Tamandua tetradactyla: one gene and its partner. The protein of the gene in region 2 interacts with the protein of the main gene of each other region in a biochemical or structural test. Links are inferred from orthologs where the notes say so. Each region holds a gene or a part of one and is shown on either strand. Other genes may lie near its edges.

The links. The genes of interacting proteins can lie anywhere in the genome.
Region 1: the proteins of PDZK1 (region 2) and SLC15A5 interact in a test that uses a peptide from one of them, tested with the Homo sapiens proteins (2 studies listed by IntAct, with this or other methods). The link is inferred for Tamandua tetradactyla from reciprocal best matches to the Homo sapiens genes PDZK1 and SLC15A5.

Annotation. Positions count from the first base shown.
Region 1 is NC_135333.1:78,899,838-78,907,555, reverse strand, and holds the start of SLC15A5 (solute carrier family 15 member 5), read left to right. Parts: upstream 1-4,715; coding exon 4,716-5,076; intron 5,077-7,718. UniProt on the Homo sapiens protein: Proton oligopeptide cotransporter.
Region 2 is NC_135330.1:1,141,871-1,149,861, forward strand, and holds the start of PDZK1 (Na(+)/H(+) exchange regulatory cofactor NHE-RF3), read right to left. Parts: upstream 3,004-7,991; 5' UTR 2,854-3,003; intron 1-2,853. UniProt on the Homo sapiens protein: A scaffold protein that connects plasma membrane proteins and regulatory components, regulating their surface expression in epithelial cells apical domains.

The sequences.
Region 1 (7,718 bases), on a different chromosome or scaffold from region 2:
TATGCAAGCTTTAGCCAGATATTTCAAACTACCACAGTTAACCAAGCCCCAGCCAACAGTATTCCTGAAAACCCTAAGGAGTGACTTAAACTCTTTCTAATTCTCTAGAAAAATTTTTCTTAGTTAAGCTTATATTTTCAGGAACATAAGGCCTCCATATTGTTCCTATGCCAGATAAGCCCTGAAACCAGAGATGCCAGTCTCTTCAGGTATTTCCATCTGACTATTCTGATACACTAGGAACTAGAAAGAAATATATATAACCTATATCAGTAGTCATAAGCATTTGTTAAATCTGAATTTCTCAGTTATACTTTCTCCCTCTCATTTGATCTTTCAGATGGAAATACCTAGAATTGTTGAACTGTAATCCAGTAGCCTTGATCTTTGATATGATTGTATAACTATATTGCTTTTATCATGTGACCATGTGATTGTAAAGACTGTGTGACTGACATTCCCTCTATCCAGTATATGGGTACATAGGTAATAAAATAAAGATATGCATGAAAATAATAACATCAGGAATATGGGAAAAAATACTCCTACTTAACTCTGAACAATAATTATAGTATTACTTTAATAATCTTTCACCAAGAGTAACAAATGGAAGTACTGTCAAAAAAAATGCTGACATTTAAAAAATGTGTTATCAACTGTAACAAATTTTCCACACCAATGCAGTGTTGGTGGTGGGGTGGTGTATAGGAATCCTGTATTTCCTGAGTGATTGTTCTGTAAACCTACAACTTCTCTCATGAAAAATAAATAAAAAGCAGGGCTTGCACTTCTGGTATATTCTCAATATAACCCTTACAGGATGCATAAATGGCCTGGATGCTCAGTAAAAACTGAGGGTGGTTCATTAGTTCATCAAATGGGCCTCTGGCTAATTTTCTCTATTAATAATACACATTTTACCATATGTAAGTGTGATCAACATTATTACCCCACATCTTGGACATATGACCTTTGTTTTTCCAATGAAGAAGTCTAATGTTGAGTATAATCTTTGCATTCCAAACAACATGGGCTTTTCGGTTAAAATGCCTGAGGTTTTTATTGAAATTTTATATTATGTATGGAGAAGTATTAAACCATTCCCACACTTTTACCCTGTAGCATTGCTCTGAAAACTCAGCCAAAGGATATATATAACCTGAGAGTGGGGGAAGCTTTATGCCCAAAGATACTCATTCTAGCATTATTTATGAAGTTTTTTTTTTTTAATTCAGATTCATGGTCAAAGCTAGAGGAAGACTGACATTAGGAATCTGAGACAAATGTAACTAACCAAAAAATGGAAAAAAGCTAAGCACATTATGTATCTATAATGCAACCATAAAAAATATATTTACAAAGGGTTAATTTGGCATGTTAAAATGTTTATAACGTTTCCTACAAATAGAGTAGCAACCGTATTACAAATAATTGTACACAATTCAAATATTTAAAATCTACTAATAACAAATAGTCATAGGGAAAGAAAACCAAAAGAAATGCTCCCCAAACTTTCATTGTTTGTTCTTCCTTTTATATGTGTTTTTCCCCATTTATATATAATGTCTATGCATTGCTTTCATAATAGAGAAAAAATATCATTCCATTATAGAAAGACAGAAAGAAATACGGAACAAGTCTGGGGTGGGGAGGGAGAATGTTATATAAAACTAAAGTATGTATAAATTCCTATTCAAAAGTTCAACATTTGTTGACACAGATGATGACATTCAATATTTCCCAAGTGTTTTTCTCAAGTAGAGTCGGTACTTGTCCTTTAAGCTCACTTTGAGCTTGGTATTGAAAACTAGCAAGGAAGTAACAAATAAGATTTTTTTTCCTTTGCTTCAACTCTACTGAGAGTGATCTGGTCCCCTTAACTTATGTCCCTAATGCAAGTTGGAAATTTGAAAATAGTTCCACATTTCTTTATGGCTCATTGGTTAGGGTAACTAGGAAATGCAGGAATATAGGAACAAGTAGTAACAAAGGCTTTTTAATGTATGGTCCTTGACATTTCAACATTTTCTAAAACAAGCCTCAGAAATGAGCTTCTGAAGTAAGCTTTACTGTTTGTACTTCACAGCTGATGTAATGGGTTCATAGATGTAAAGTAATTTGCCTTAAGTGACAAAGTGACAGGAATGAAACACAGGACTCCTACCTTCCAACTCGGTAAGTATACTGTCTGCTATTTTGCCTTTATTACAATACTCTTGTCAGTCACAGATAACTGAAAAAAACTTGACTTCTGAGTAGGTAGCTGTCTTGGTGAGTTATCAAACAGCCCCTCAAAGAAGGCAACACTGCTGCTCTCGCTGACCCAGCCAACCCAAATTACACGTCCCCCCACAGGTGGCCTGTTCTTGGGCAAGAATACAGTGGAACCAAAGAATTTAAGTAGGATGGGTCAGGAGGCCCTGGGAAGGGTCAGGGCCTCCCTGCCTGGGAAGTGACATTGGGACTAGCTAAATAGATCAGTCAGTGGCTGGGGAGCCCTTTTCCCTTGCATCCAGGGCAGACAGAAATGTAAGCTCTGTTACAAAGAAAGCAAGTGTGGCTAACTTAACTTTAAATAGATTAGTTTACAAAAAGAAAACTGAACAGTCATACCTCCGGGAAGATAAGAAGCAGGGCCACACTGAGTTCTCCAGCAAGGCCTCAGATAATCCCTTCTGGGCACTGTTTAGGTTTGCTAATGCTGCAAGAGTGCGAAGTACCAGAAATGGATTGGCTTTTACAAAGGGGTTGATTAAGTTACAAGTCACAATCCTAAGGTCATAAAAATGTCCAAATTTAGGCATCAACAAAAGGATACCTTCACTGAAGAAAGACCCATGGCATTTGGGTTCCTCTGTCTCATGGGAAGGCACATGGCGATGTCTGCTGGCCCTTCTCTCCTGGGTTGGTTTCAGAATGGCTCTCTCAGCCTCTGTGGGTCCTGCTGGCTTCTCCCGGGTTGTTTTCTTTCTCTTTGAGCTCCTCTCCACTCTGGGTTCTCTCGAAAATGTCACTGCCTTATAGGACTCCAGCAAGACCCAATTTGAATGGGTGGGATCACATCTCCATGGAAACAACCTAATCAAAAGGTCCCACCCACAATAGGTCTGTACCCACAAGATTGGATTAAAAGAGTGTGGCTTTTCTGGGGGTACATAACAGTGTCATACAGCGCAGACACTGCCATCTAAATGATAGTTTCTACCATGTCCACTATTGAATTATTCCACTCCTGATGAAATTTCCTTGGGAGAAAAAGTACATGGACTATGTTAAGCTATGTGCTACTGCCCTTTGCCAAAAGAAAAGGGATTCCCTGAGTAATTGCCCCACCATGGACTCAAGTAACAAGGGAGAATGGCTCTCCAAAGGTAGAATTACCCACATGATAGGGTTTGCCTTGGACAGACCCAGTTTATACCTGTTGTCCAGGACTAACTATAAATAGCATCACTTTCACTCATAAAATGTCCAAGATTGAATAATAAATGCCATGCTTACCTTATGTAAAGGAAAAATAGTGTGTCGTGTCCAAAGAAGGGGGAGGTGAGGCCAAGGAGATTAAAACAGCTGCCATTACAAGGAGACTATTAGAAGGGGTCAGAACAAGGTGTTTTGTTTCCAATCTCTCAGACCAAAAGATAAGAATCAGACTCAAAAGCCCTGACAGTCTTTTGCTTTTAACTCTTACATGAAAACAGCATTCCTTGCTCACTCCTTGTGTATTGAATTATTGTGGCTTTGACCCAATAGCATCATATCCTTGTCTTTGTATGCCCTTGCTGTTAAACATCTAAATGTTTAAAGTATTTTCTTTTGCCGCTTTTTTTTAAAAATCTTAATTGGTGGCCTCCTGCTTTCTAAAACAGAGTGCCAACATCCATTCACTTAGCTGGAAGGTCGAGGTGATACCAGATCCAATAATGCCCAAAGCATGTGTAGGCTCGTTACTGTATTTCTAACTGCTGGCTAATAATAAGATATTCAAATAGCTTCTTTTGATTCTGATTCCCTCTGAGAAGCTGTTCTACAAGTATGGGGTCAACGTAAAGGAAGAGGGTTTTTAATAGTTTCTCTTTTCATTAGTGCACTTAAATTACTTTCTTGTAAACTCTGCTTGTTACCTCAATGTACTAGCACTTTCGTTACCTAATTAACTTTCTTATCAGAATTCCAAGCAAAAATAACATGAAATATAATAATGATAAGGCATCCTACCCCTTCAAAACAGATTTTCTTTCATGCTTTTATCTCTTGGTACTGTTCTGGCTTGCTTAATTAAAGTATCAGAAGTTATTAGACTCAAATTATTTCTTGATCTAGTGCTCAAATTCTCCTGAAAAACTGCTGCTTCTGCCTCAGAGTTTCAACCTTTATCAGTGTGAGGCAGATGAGTTTCCACATGTGTTCAACTGAATTCTTGTTAATCCAATATAACTTCAGAGGAAGAGTCTAATTTAGCTTCTTAGTAATCAAACAAACAAATCCATTTGACTATATTGGACCGCCATAATGTTTGAAACTCATGCCTTCTTTCCTATGTTCTGGATCATCAAAATGAACACCACTTAAGTGCAAGAAAAAAAAAACATGAAATTTTAGCATGGATATGTGAAATTCAAAGCAAAGATTCTACTTGTTTTTTCAGAGGGTCAGGGTATACAAAATCACCAAATACAAACCACGAAGACAAGTTGTATTCGAGGAGGTTAGTCATGTCTGTTACAGACTTTAAAGTAACTGATGAGAAAGGGCTCTTAAATCACAGCTTTCAGAAGGAGAAAACAGCAAGACATGTTGGTAATTTTTTTTCATCGCTCTCTGTGAAAAACATTCAGGTTGGACTCTGTTTGCTTTTGGTGGAGCTGTGTGAGAGGTTCACTTTTTTTGAAGTTGTCTGCAATTTGATCCCCTTTTGCACTGTCAAGCTTGGCTATCACAATTACCAAGCAGCCATTTTGAACTTGTGTTTTACGGGAACGTCAATACTTAGCCCTGTGTTTGCAGGATGGCTCGTGGATGTCTGTCTGGGAAGAAACAAACTGGTATATATTTGCTTATTTCTACACTTTCTAGGTGAGTGTCCCGTTGACATTGGATGGTTTTGCAAACTTATTAAGTGGACTTTTGCTAGAATTTTTTTGTTTTTATCATTCTGCTTTTTTATCATACTGCATTTAATGTATAATGTTCAAAATTAAGAATGTTGCTTCAATTCATTTCGTTCTCTTTATTTTTTCAAGGATGATATCAAATATGTTGTGTGTGTTAAAGGATGCTTTGATACTATATCATTGCACTTATTATATGTTATCATAATTATCTTTACATGTCTGACTTCTGTACTCCTCAGAATAACCTTCTTTTCCCCCTTTGTAGCCCAAATTCAAATTCCTGACAAATCCCACTTGAGACATCAAATGTATTTGCTTTACAACTAAGATGAAATTTGCTAAAAAAGGTTTTGAAGTCATATAGAATAAATGAAAAATGTTTTCTTCAAAAACTGGTACTTTAGTTAACCATTTAGCAGTTAAGGTGGCATCTGAAGGCATAACTTCTATATTAAGAGCTATGGCTATAAGCTAAAAAATTGAATGAATTCATACACTAACCTTGATTCTTTACATAGAGAAAAAAGTAAGTACATTTATAAAAGTTTAGGAATAAAAAAAGTTTCGGAGTAAAGTGATTGCATGAAATGATGTTGGAGAAATATCAAGATAGCTTGATAAGGAGTAGGAAGCCAGCTGATGAACAGTCTAGAGTTTTAAGCCGAGAAATTCAAGTCGTTCTTCTAAACAACGAGGAGTCACTGAAGATAAGATGAAAACAACATTCAGAAGACGTTTTTCACTGATAAACAGGATGGACAACCACAGAGAAATAGTAAATAGAGAGATCAGAAAAACCTCAGGATAATGGTGTTGTCAATGGAAAAGCATCAATCCAAGAGAAATCATGTGAAAAATATTTTTTAATAAAACAACTTGGAAACTAAAAAAGGGCATGAATTCTCTAGAAGTACAAATTACTTCTAGTAATTAACTAGAAAAATTAATTCCAAGGGTGTGAGCTGAGGAACTTAGTGTGCTGTTCACCAAGAACAAGGAGCACAGGGCAATGTGCATTTGTGGGGAGGGAGGCCGAATGAGGAAGGGGTGGATGTCAGGCACGCAACATATCACATGACTTCAGGCAGGTGGTAAATTACCATTTGCTGAATCAAGATCAGAGTGTGATTTAAACTTGCAAACTTCTTCACTGCTTAAGTTCTGTGGAATAAAAACCAAGTCACTGCATGGCAAATACTCACTCAACATTCAACAAATATTTCTTCTTGACTACCCTGTGACAGGCGTTGTTCCAGGATCTGGGAATGTAAGAGAGTAAAAAGCAGGCTCTGCTTGGCTACAGTTTACTTTCTGGTGGGGGAGAAAGAAAATTAACAAGTAAATAGATATTACATGAGGTAATGATGAGTGTTATGAAGAAAAGTAAAAGTGAGTAAGGAGACAGGAGGGAATAGACAGTGACAGGGCTGGCTACTGTGTATTGTGAAATCAGGGAATATTTTCTGAGAGGGAGACATTTTAAGCAGAGATCTGAGTAATTTATTCTCTACTTAGTGTCAGGTTATCCTACCAGCCACATCAGTAGTGTTTGGTAAATTTTTGTTTAACATGGTGATTCCTATGGGTTCAACTTCCTATGTAAGTTATCAGACTAAGACTGAAGTCCCAACTTCTGAATTTGACAAACAAAAGGCAAAGTCAACTTCATCTCCATTCATTTTCCTATTAAAAGTCATTTCCTTGTGTTCCTGACTCACAGCTGCCATAAAATTCCAAATAGTCACTAAACCTCAGCGGTTCTATCAGAAATGCCTCTTCTGCTGGAATTGATACAACTTTAGCTCAAAAATGCAGCTTTATTTTTCTCAACCATTATGATAGCCTACTTACCAGCCTGCAAGTCATCAGTCTGACATCCTACACCATTCAAGCAACATTGGCTCCCTAAAAATAAATCTAAATACTGGCTCTATTATCTATAAGATAAAATCAAACATTAATTTAGTACATAAGACCCTTTACAATCTATTTCAAATTGGTCTCTCCAGACTTCCATCTCAGTAAATCAACCCAACCATGTTGAACTTGTTATGTTCTCCTTACTCTTCGAATCGCAATTGCTTTCTCCTCTCTACCTTAAATTGTTACCACCCCTCAGCTTTCCACCCACACCCAGGAGCTGAAAACTCCTCCTCTTCTTTCAAGACAATATAATAATTACTGCTTGCTCTTCTGTTCTTACTCAACCCCGTTCTGATCATACCTACGTGATTGTTTTTATCACATTAAAATAGAGTTGCCCACCAGCATGTCTATATTCGCTAATGGACTCATTAGCTCCTGGAAAGCAGAGCACCTTGCAGGGGCTATGACCTAGCAGGGGCTGTGCCACATCACGGTGCGTGACTCAGAGCTGCCAAGTGCAGGTATGCTGATTGTGCAGGGCAAGATAGCACCACATCAAAGAGGAGACATTTTATCACCCATGCCATTAAGTTGTATTTTCGGTTGCATCAATTTTACAGGCATTAGAAATAAAGTTTTAATTTAATAACATCATTATATTACGACATATTCCCAAAAGATGGGGGTAAAGTGTTTTTCTAACTTATACAAAGGCACCATCTGGACTAAAAGTGCCTG
Region 2 (7,991 bases):
ATCGTTGCTACTCCTTTCCCGGGCGCCAGGCACTGCTGGGTACCGCCTGGCTCTCCCTCCACCCTCGCCGCCCGTCAGACAAGGAAGGGGACTCAGAGGCTGACACCTGCACAGCGCGGAACCCAGCCCGTCCGCCGGGCCCTTCCCGCCCCCACAGCCTCCCAGCCCTGCCCGCGTGGTCAGGCGAGGACAGGAGCCCCAAGGCAGTCAGCAGGGATGGTGTGCCGAGAGGGACCCATGCAGGTACAGCTGCGTTCAGGGAACAGGGAGCAGTTCAGAAAAACCAGAAAGCAACTCGGCTGGCCCGCAGGTGCCTGTCACAGAGGAGCTTCAGTGTCCACGTTGGCATGGAGGGGCAGGTCCCAGCACCCTTCTCTGTCCTCCATACAGCACAGCTGGTAGAAGGCCGCAGACTTTCCCGGGCCGTTACTGCTGCTCCCCCATGGCCCCGAGCAGCCCATCGTCCACCCAGCTTCATGAACACAGCACCGCACATCTGACCAGGCCCAGCGCCCAGAAGCCGGTGCCTGACTCTGGCCAAGACCAAACCATCCACAGCAGCCACCCAGTAGGCTAGGGGCATCGTTTCTATTTATCACAACTCATTGCTGTTGCCCGGGTTCCTTCCTTCCCTGGAGCCATGCACACTGCAAACTCCCAGAGCGTCAACTTAATAAGCTGCTCCAAGGCTGTGCGAGGCACTCTGTCCATTCCCCCATCGAACCCCACACTCTAGGAGCTAAATTCGATTACACCCACCTCAAGGAATTAAAGGCTTAGAGTAAAAGGTGGAGTCTGCTCTGGAATTCAGGTTTCCAATTCCAAATTCCTCCCATGGCTAAATATTTAGCCATGAAACCTACCAGGCAAAGGGGTGATGGGGATCTGGGAAGCCCCTTGCGAAAGGAAAGGGGCTGCTGAGATCTGGAGGAAACAGGCCTAGCTCCAGCTTTTGTTACTCATCAAATTCCTGTGCAGTGAGTGGGAAAATCATTGAACCAGGATGTGGCCAGAGAAGCCAGTTACCATGTGATCAGATTCTCGACTGTAAATGACCCAAACCAGCTTGAGTTCCTCAGCCTGTTTTTCTGAGCAGCAGCTTACCGAAGTATACTGCGTTCCACTGTTCAAGCTCTTTCCCTGGCACGCTAACTTCCATTTACCCAGCATCTAATCATTTCCTCTGTGCTGGCCACTGTTCTGAGGGTTGGGGATAAAGGAGATAAGAGCCAGGACAAGATCCCTGCTCTCCAGAAGCTTAACATCAGGCAAAGGGGGCAAGTCAGGAAGATGGAAATGCCGAGGAACAATGAGAGGCAGTGGTGGGGTGGAGGGGCCAGGCTGATTTACAAAGTCCCCCGAGGAGATAACGCCAACTCATACTCAAAGGACAAGGAGCCAGCCATGCCATGAGAAAGGAGACCACTTCAAGAGTTGGTGGCCCAAGGAGGGGTCCCTGAAACCAGGGACCTCAGTGCCCTAAAGGATAAAGTGGGAACGCAGAGGGCTGAGGTTCTAGAATGCTTCTCAGCCTACCTACTTGTTAGCATTGGGGCTAACAGTCCTAGTTCTGCTAAGAAGATAAATAACAGACCAGCTAATAGAATGACAATTCTAGTTCCCAAGCTCCAGCCTGGACTTGATTCTTGGTAAGCAGGAAAGGACATTAGCGACTCGACTCCTATTTCCAGGTGGTGGAGAGATCACGAGACTCAGACGAGGTGCCCTGACTGCAAGGCTCTGTCTTCACAACATTCCACAAAGCCTTTGGGTATCACACCTGTAATTTAGGCATTTTATGTTTGTGCTTTTGGTCCCCCCAACACATTCATGTATATAATTTTATTTTCAGTGCAATCCTGGGGCAGATTCAGGGTCTTCCTTTGATAGAAGAGGACACTGAGGCTCAGAGTGGTGGAGCTGCCTAACGACCTGATCACTTCCAGGTGATCCAGAGCCCAGCTATTTGTAATCCAATCAGCCCTGTGGGTTTTTTGCCCCCTTAAGAGGGCAAGTGGCCTAGCAAGTGGTCTGTGAATTTAAGACATCATTAGTAATTACTTCATATTTTATTTTGAAAAGGGCATAAGAAAGAGCCACAGATAAGAATAATTTAGTCATAACAAAAACTCAAAGTCCCTGAGTTATTTGCTTCAGGAGAAGAACATATGACTCTAGGTAACTAAATAGCCGTGGCCCAGGCCAGCCGGTGCGTGGGGGCGAGGCCACGCATGCGTGGGTGCCGCGGCGTGGGGACAGGGCTGCGCGCGCGTGGGTGCCGCAGCGGGTGGTGCCGCGTGGGGACGAGGCCGCGCGTGGGTGCCGTTCTGGGTGCCACGGCGTGGGGATGGGGCTGCGCGCGCGTGGGTGCCACTGTGGGTGCCGCGGCGTGGGGACGGGGCTGCACGTGCATAGGTGCCGCGGTGGGTGGCGCCGCGTGGGGATGGGGCCGTGTGCGTGGGAGCCGCTGTGTGGGGACGAGGCCGCGCGTGGGTATTGCGGTGCAGAAACTGCGAAGGAGGAAGGCGTTCCCGGACCGCCCCGCCGGAGCCTTAAACTCTGAGCGGAAAGTTCTATCCGAGCCCTCTAAGGAGGGCTGCTCTGGTTAGGAAACGAGCTGCGAGTGGGTCCCACGCTGCCCACGCATCCGAATTATTTGGGGCCTTTAGAAAAAGAACTGGCGTTGATTTCCACACGCATCCAAGACGCAAAGAGTGGAAATCCCCGAAGGACAGAGCCGACCTGGCCCCCGGCTCCCCTGCGCGTGGTGAGGCGCGTCCTTCCCCAGCCCCCGCGGCCAGCACCCAAGCGGGTAGCAGCCGGGACCTGCCCGCCCGGCGCCGCGGCTCCTACCTGGTCCTGGACACGAGGCTGCGCCGCACCTGCGCCCGGAGCAAAGGGCAGCCCGAAGGCGAAGTATTTAACCCGCCGCAGGAGTCCACGTGGCCGCCGGCCCGCAGCTGCTGGTCCGCTCGGCCCGGCCGGGAGGCCTGGGAAGCCCTCGGCTCCCGCCCACCTGCCCCTGCCCCGCCCAGGGCCCGGTGGGGAGGTGGACGGAGGAGGGGCGGGGCTTCGGGGGCGGAGGCGGGCCCACAGCAGGTCCGGCCTAGGGGAGGGGGCCAGACCCAGGGAGCGCGCGCCCCCGCCCTCCCCTCACCTGGCCGTATTTCCGGGACCTCCTTCCTTCTAGTGTCCGCACTTTCCTCGCTCCCCCGGTCCCTCTCACCTGAGGGGGAAGCTTCTGCTGTCCCGCCTTCTGGCAGGTGTCTCCCCGTTGCCCCTCCAGCCCTCAGGCCCGCCCAGCTGCGGGGGGCGTGGGGAGCAGCTGCGGGGCCGGGGGTCGGGGCAGCGCCGGCCCGGGAGGGCAGGGATCACGGTTAGGAGCGACCCTCCGACCCCCGAGTCGCCGTCCAATCGGGGCTGTGCCTCGGGCTCCAGGGCCGCAGGGCCGCGGGACCGCGGGGGTGGGGGCCCTGGGTCGGAGCGCTGGGTGCAGACGCCGCTCCCCGGCGGCGGTGCAGGGCCCCTGGCTTTCCACGAGTGTCCTTTGCCCTCGTCACCCGTGGGCATTGTTAGGGACTCTCGTGACGCTGGGGGCTTCTCTACCCCGGGCCCAGTTCCTGTCGCCGTGGCCGCAGGCCGCAGTGCCCCTTGGCCGCGTCTAAGGCAGGTGCGTCCCGGGCCTTCCTCTGTCCACCGCGGGCGGTCAGCCGTTAGGCCGCTAGACCCCTCTCCACGCAGGGCCAGCGGGAGGATGAAGGCGATGTTTCAGACCTGAGTGCAGGGCTGGCTACAGAAAATGTCCACAATTACCAACATCCGTCAAACTGTGCGCCTGCGATAGGTGAGCGATATAATAATGCCTTAATAAAAAAAAGAAGAAGAAGATCCGCCCTGCTGCCCTGCGGGCACCCCCGATGCATCAGGCCCGCGGGGTCCCCCGGAACCGCTGAGGGGCAGCAGCCCGCAACCCCCGCACTGCCCGCCCAGGAGCCGACCCAGCCTGGATGAGCTGTCTTGGGCCTGGCACACCCACCTCCAGGCCCTGCACACCCACCTCCGGGCCATGAGCACCCACCTCCGGGCCGTGCACACCCACCTCCGGGGCCATGCACACCCACCTCCCGGGCCGTGCACACCCACCTCTGGGCCATGAGCACCCACCTCCGGGCCCGGCACACCCACCTCTGGGGCCCGGCACACCCACCTCCGGGCCATGAGCACCCACCTCCGGGCCGTGCACACCCACCTCCGGGCCATGAACACCCACCTCCGGGGCCATGCACACCCACCTCCCGGGCCGTGCACACCCACCTCCGGGCCATGAACACCCACCTCCAGGCCCTGCACACCCACCTCCCGGGCCGTGCACACCCACCTCTGGGCCATGAGCACCCACCTCCGGGCCCGGCACACCCACCTCTGGGGCCCGGCACACCCACCTCCGGGCCATGAGCACCCACCTCCCGGGCCGTGCACACCCACCTCCGGGCCATGCACACCCACTTCTGGGCCGTGCACACCCACCTCCGGGCCATGAGCACCCACCTCCAGGCCCGGCACACCCACCTCTGGGGCATGCACAGGTGCCCAGGATCCTGCCCAGCAGCCCGGCGCTGGACATGTGCCTGGTCAAGAGCTACTGCCTGCGAATAGCACAGTAAATCCAGCTGTAAGGAAAGATTTGAAACCTGTATGGAAATTCCACTGCCTGCGAACAGCACAGTAAATCCAACTCTAAGGAAGATTTGAAACCTGTATGGAAATTCTACTGCCGTCCAGTGGAAGGGCGCCCTGGAGGCCCAGACAGACCATTTTCTCAATTCTCTCTTGTTAAACAGCACCCTGTGAAAATGCTGAAAAGAAGCACAACTGTAGTAAGTTCTTATGGTCTGGGTGGGATTTAAAAAGACATGCAGGGATTGTGGCAGGACCTTCCAGTGTGCACGCGCTGTCCTTACGTCAGCGGAACTGCCCTGCGGTCACACATCTACCCAACTGGCCACAAGACCCACCCAGGAAGGAAAGGAAAATGGAGAACTCCAGGAACAACCAGAAGTTGTCAAAAAAGACCATTGAATCACTGTCAATAAACCATCCTCCACACCAGACACACAAGAACCAAAACTTCAGAAGTAAAGCTAGGAGCTTCCTTTGAAGACTCCTTGCTCCAAGACATCCTCAGAAGCTGCTGTTACCAAACCCAAAGTGTGTCTCTATGCCTAGGACAGTCGACCCCTCAGCCCAGCCGCAGCAGTGGGTGGGGGTCAGCAGGGCTCTGCCACGGGCACCATTCACTGGCCTCCTTGTCCATAGCCACCCCGACCCTCAGCCTAGATTCAGACGCTTGCTCTCTCAGGGAGAGCCTGCTTCTCAAACCTTGTGAGTCCCACGGCTGCTGAGCCAATTCGTGCAGATGTTCACGTGAGCGTGGGTGAAAGTCCACCTGCCACTTTACAGCAACTAGGGAGCATGTGTAGGGGACAGCACTTCTTCCATCAGTGTGCAGACAGACCTGCCTTAGGCCTCACCTGGCTTCGCACCTCTGCCCAGCGGGCTTCCCCAGACGCCTCTCCCCTGTCTGTTCACAAATGGATTTGACATTCAGTTCTCCAGTTTCACTTTCCATTAGTGTTCAGACTCAAACGTTGTCACCAAGTGCTAAAGAAACGTCATTGACAGCCCCTCAGACTGGTGATACTTTAGAGGCTTGTTTCCAGGCAGGTGGTATCTCCAAGAGACTCAAATCAGTGGCGTGCAAAGTTCCACAGATGGCCTGGGCCACACGGACCAAGCGGAAGTGTGTGGAGACGTTTTTGAGGGCGTCCATTCTTCATGCAAGGTTTCTACAGACAATATTAAAAGCAGCACTTTGGTAGCCGAGACTATAACTCATGGTTTGTTACCTCAGAATGACCCTAAGTCTTTAAATCAAGATATTGAGAAATCTGCACCAATTCTGAACTTCGGTAAGCAGGACAGTGCGCTTCCCTCACGAAGCATGGCAGAGTATCAGACCCGAACTGTGGGCTTCTTAAGCGATTTGGAAAACTCTTGTCGAGTAACCTGCCGGGCCAGACATTGGACCATCGCAGACTTTTGTCCGACACAAACACCGGACCCGACACCCAGGCCCAACCCAGAATCCCGGATGGATTTTGATGTTGAAGAGTTCTTTTCAGCCTCAAACATCCAAACTCAAGTGGGAGAGCCTGAACTCAGCAGTGTGAACACTGAACCAGTGTTGTAATCCCTGGACACAGAGCCCCAGACTGACTTTTTACTCGCAGACCCCTCTGCTCAGCCCTGCAGCTGCAGGGGGAATGCTAACTCTTAGGTCTTGAAAAGTTTGATACGCAGACAGACAGACTTAAGCTTCTTTTAGGAGTAGCTCTCAGCTGCCTCTGGGCAGTATTCTGAAACACTCCAGCTTTCCCATGAGCACTGATTCATCTGACACAGAAACCCAAACAGAAGGGATTCCCACTAAAAACCTCCCTGCTCTGGAAAGCAAAGTTCAGTTGAACAGGCAGATACCCAGACGATGAATTGTGTTTTGAAACCCTGGGGAGCTTGTTTTTCACCAGCAATGAAACTCAGCCGTGGATGATTTCCTTCTGGCTGATTTGTCCGGAACACGATGGAGTGTCGGTTCAGTTCTGTGGAAACCCAGGCCTGTGCAGAACCACACACGGCCTCCACCTTCTAAAAGGGACTCCACGTGCAGGCTGGCATTGAGTTTTCTCCTGGATTTAGAAAATGGGGGTTGGGGACAACAGCATTAACTACCAAAAGTAGTTGCCTCGAGTCTTTGTGGTTCTTTGCCTTTTGTACTTGTAAACATGAAATCTGGGTATAAATGTGAGTGTTAGGAAGTGCATGATACTGATCTAAAAATGAATTTTGTGTTGCCTACCATTGCCCTGTCAAAGCTAGTCTTTCCTTCTAAAACGCAAATGTATTTCACACCTTGAAAAACAATATTAGCCATTTAGCTAAAGCCAAGCTTAGCAAGTTCAAACTAACTTTTCGAAAAAAAAGTACCCTTTTCAAATCTTTAAATATTTTATGTTGGAGTGTAACATACTTAAATTAAGTTGCACCTACAATATATTTTTACAGAGCTTGTTAGAAATTCCTATTTCTTGATAGTAACTTGTAAAGTGGATTTAAACCACTTTAAACTTACCTGGTTCGAGACTCGTGCCACCTACAGCTTCGTCTCCTTGGCCATTTCATTCTTCTGACTTGAAGACACAAAGGAAAACTGTAGTCATCCCTAACTTTTGAAATCGTTTTCACGTAGTCAGCTTCTCTACATGAGCTGTTATCGATGCCAATGTTAAGTGTGCAGTCTTTTATTCACAAGAGGCTCACAGCTGTAAAATTTTGTGTAAAGGAATAATTGCGAGGGCTCGTGTGTAAACAGTGTTCCAGCCAGTTGAAATCGCGGCGAGCCATCCGCAGCACGGAAACATTGGGGCGCCCTACTCACTCTCTGCTGTCAAGTAGTGGCGGTTTAGAGTGCTCCCCAGAGCTGCTCCCCAGAGTGCAGCCACAAGCCGAATCTGAGCTCCATTACGCTGTATGTGTCGAAAAGGGGGGGAGGGGAGAGAAAGACACCTTCCCCTGAATTTCGATGTGTTACACTTCTACTAAGCTTACTAGGGCAAGAATGAAGTAACCCACCCTCCTTCAGCCACCACTCGTCTCTTTTCCTGGAAGGATTTCTGGAGGACATCTGTCGAGCCAGGGAATGACTTGTGCCTTGAGGGTAGCAATTACAGAACAGAACCACCTAAAACATGGTAGCTCGCATTTTTATTTTTCTTAAGAAAGTTATCCCAAGCAGTCTACTTCAAAGAGAATAAAGAAGGCAAAGACCTGTTGTTTCAGTCAACAAGAACATTTTTTTGTTTTGAGATGGGAACATGGTCACGTATGCTTTCAGGGTTTTCTGTACTTAGGAGATCATGCTTGTTGGCCAACAT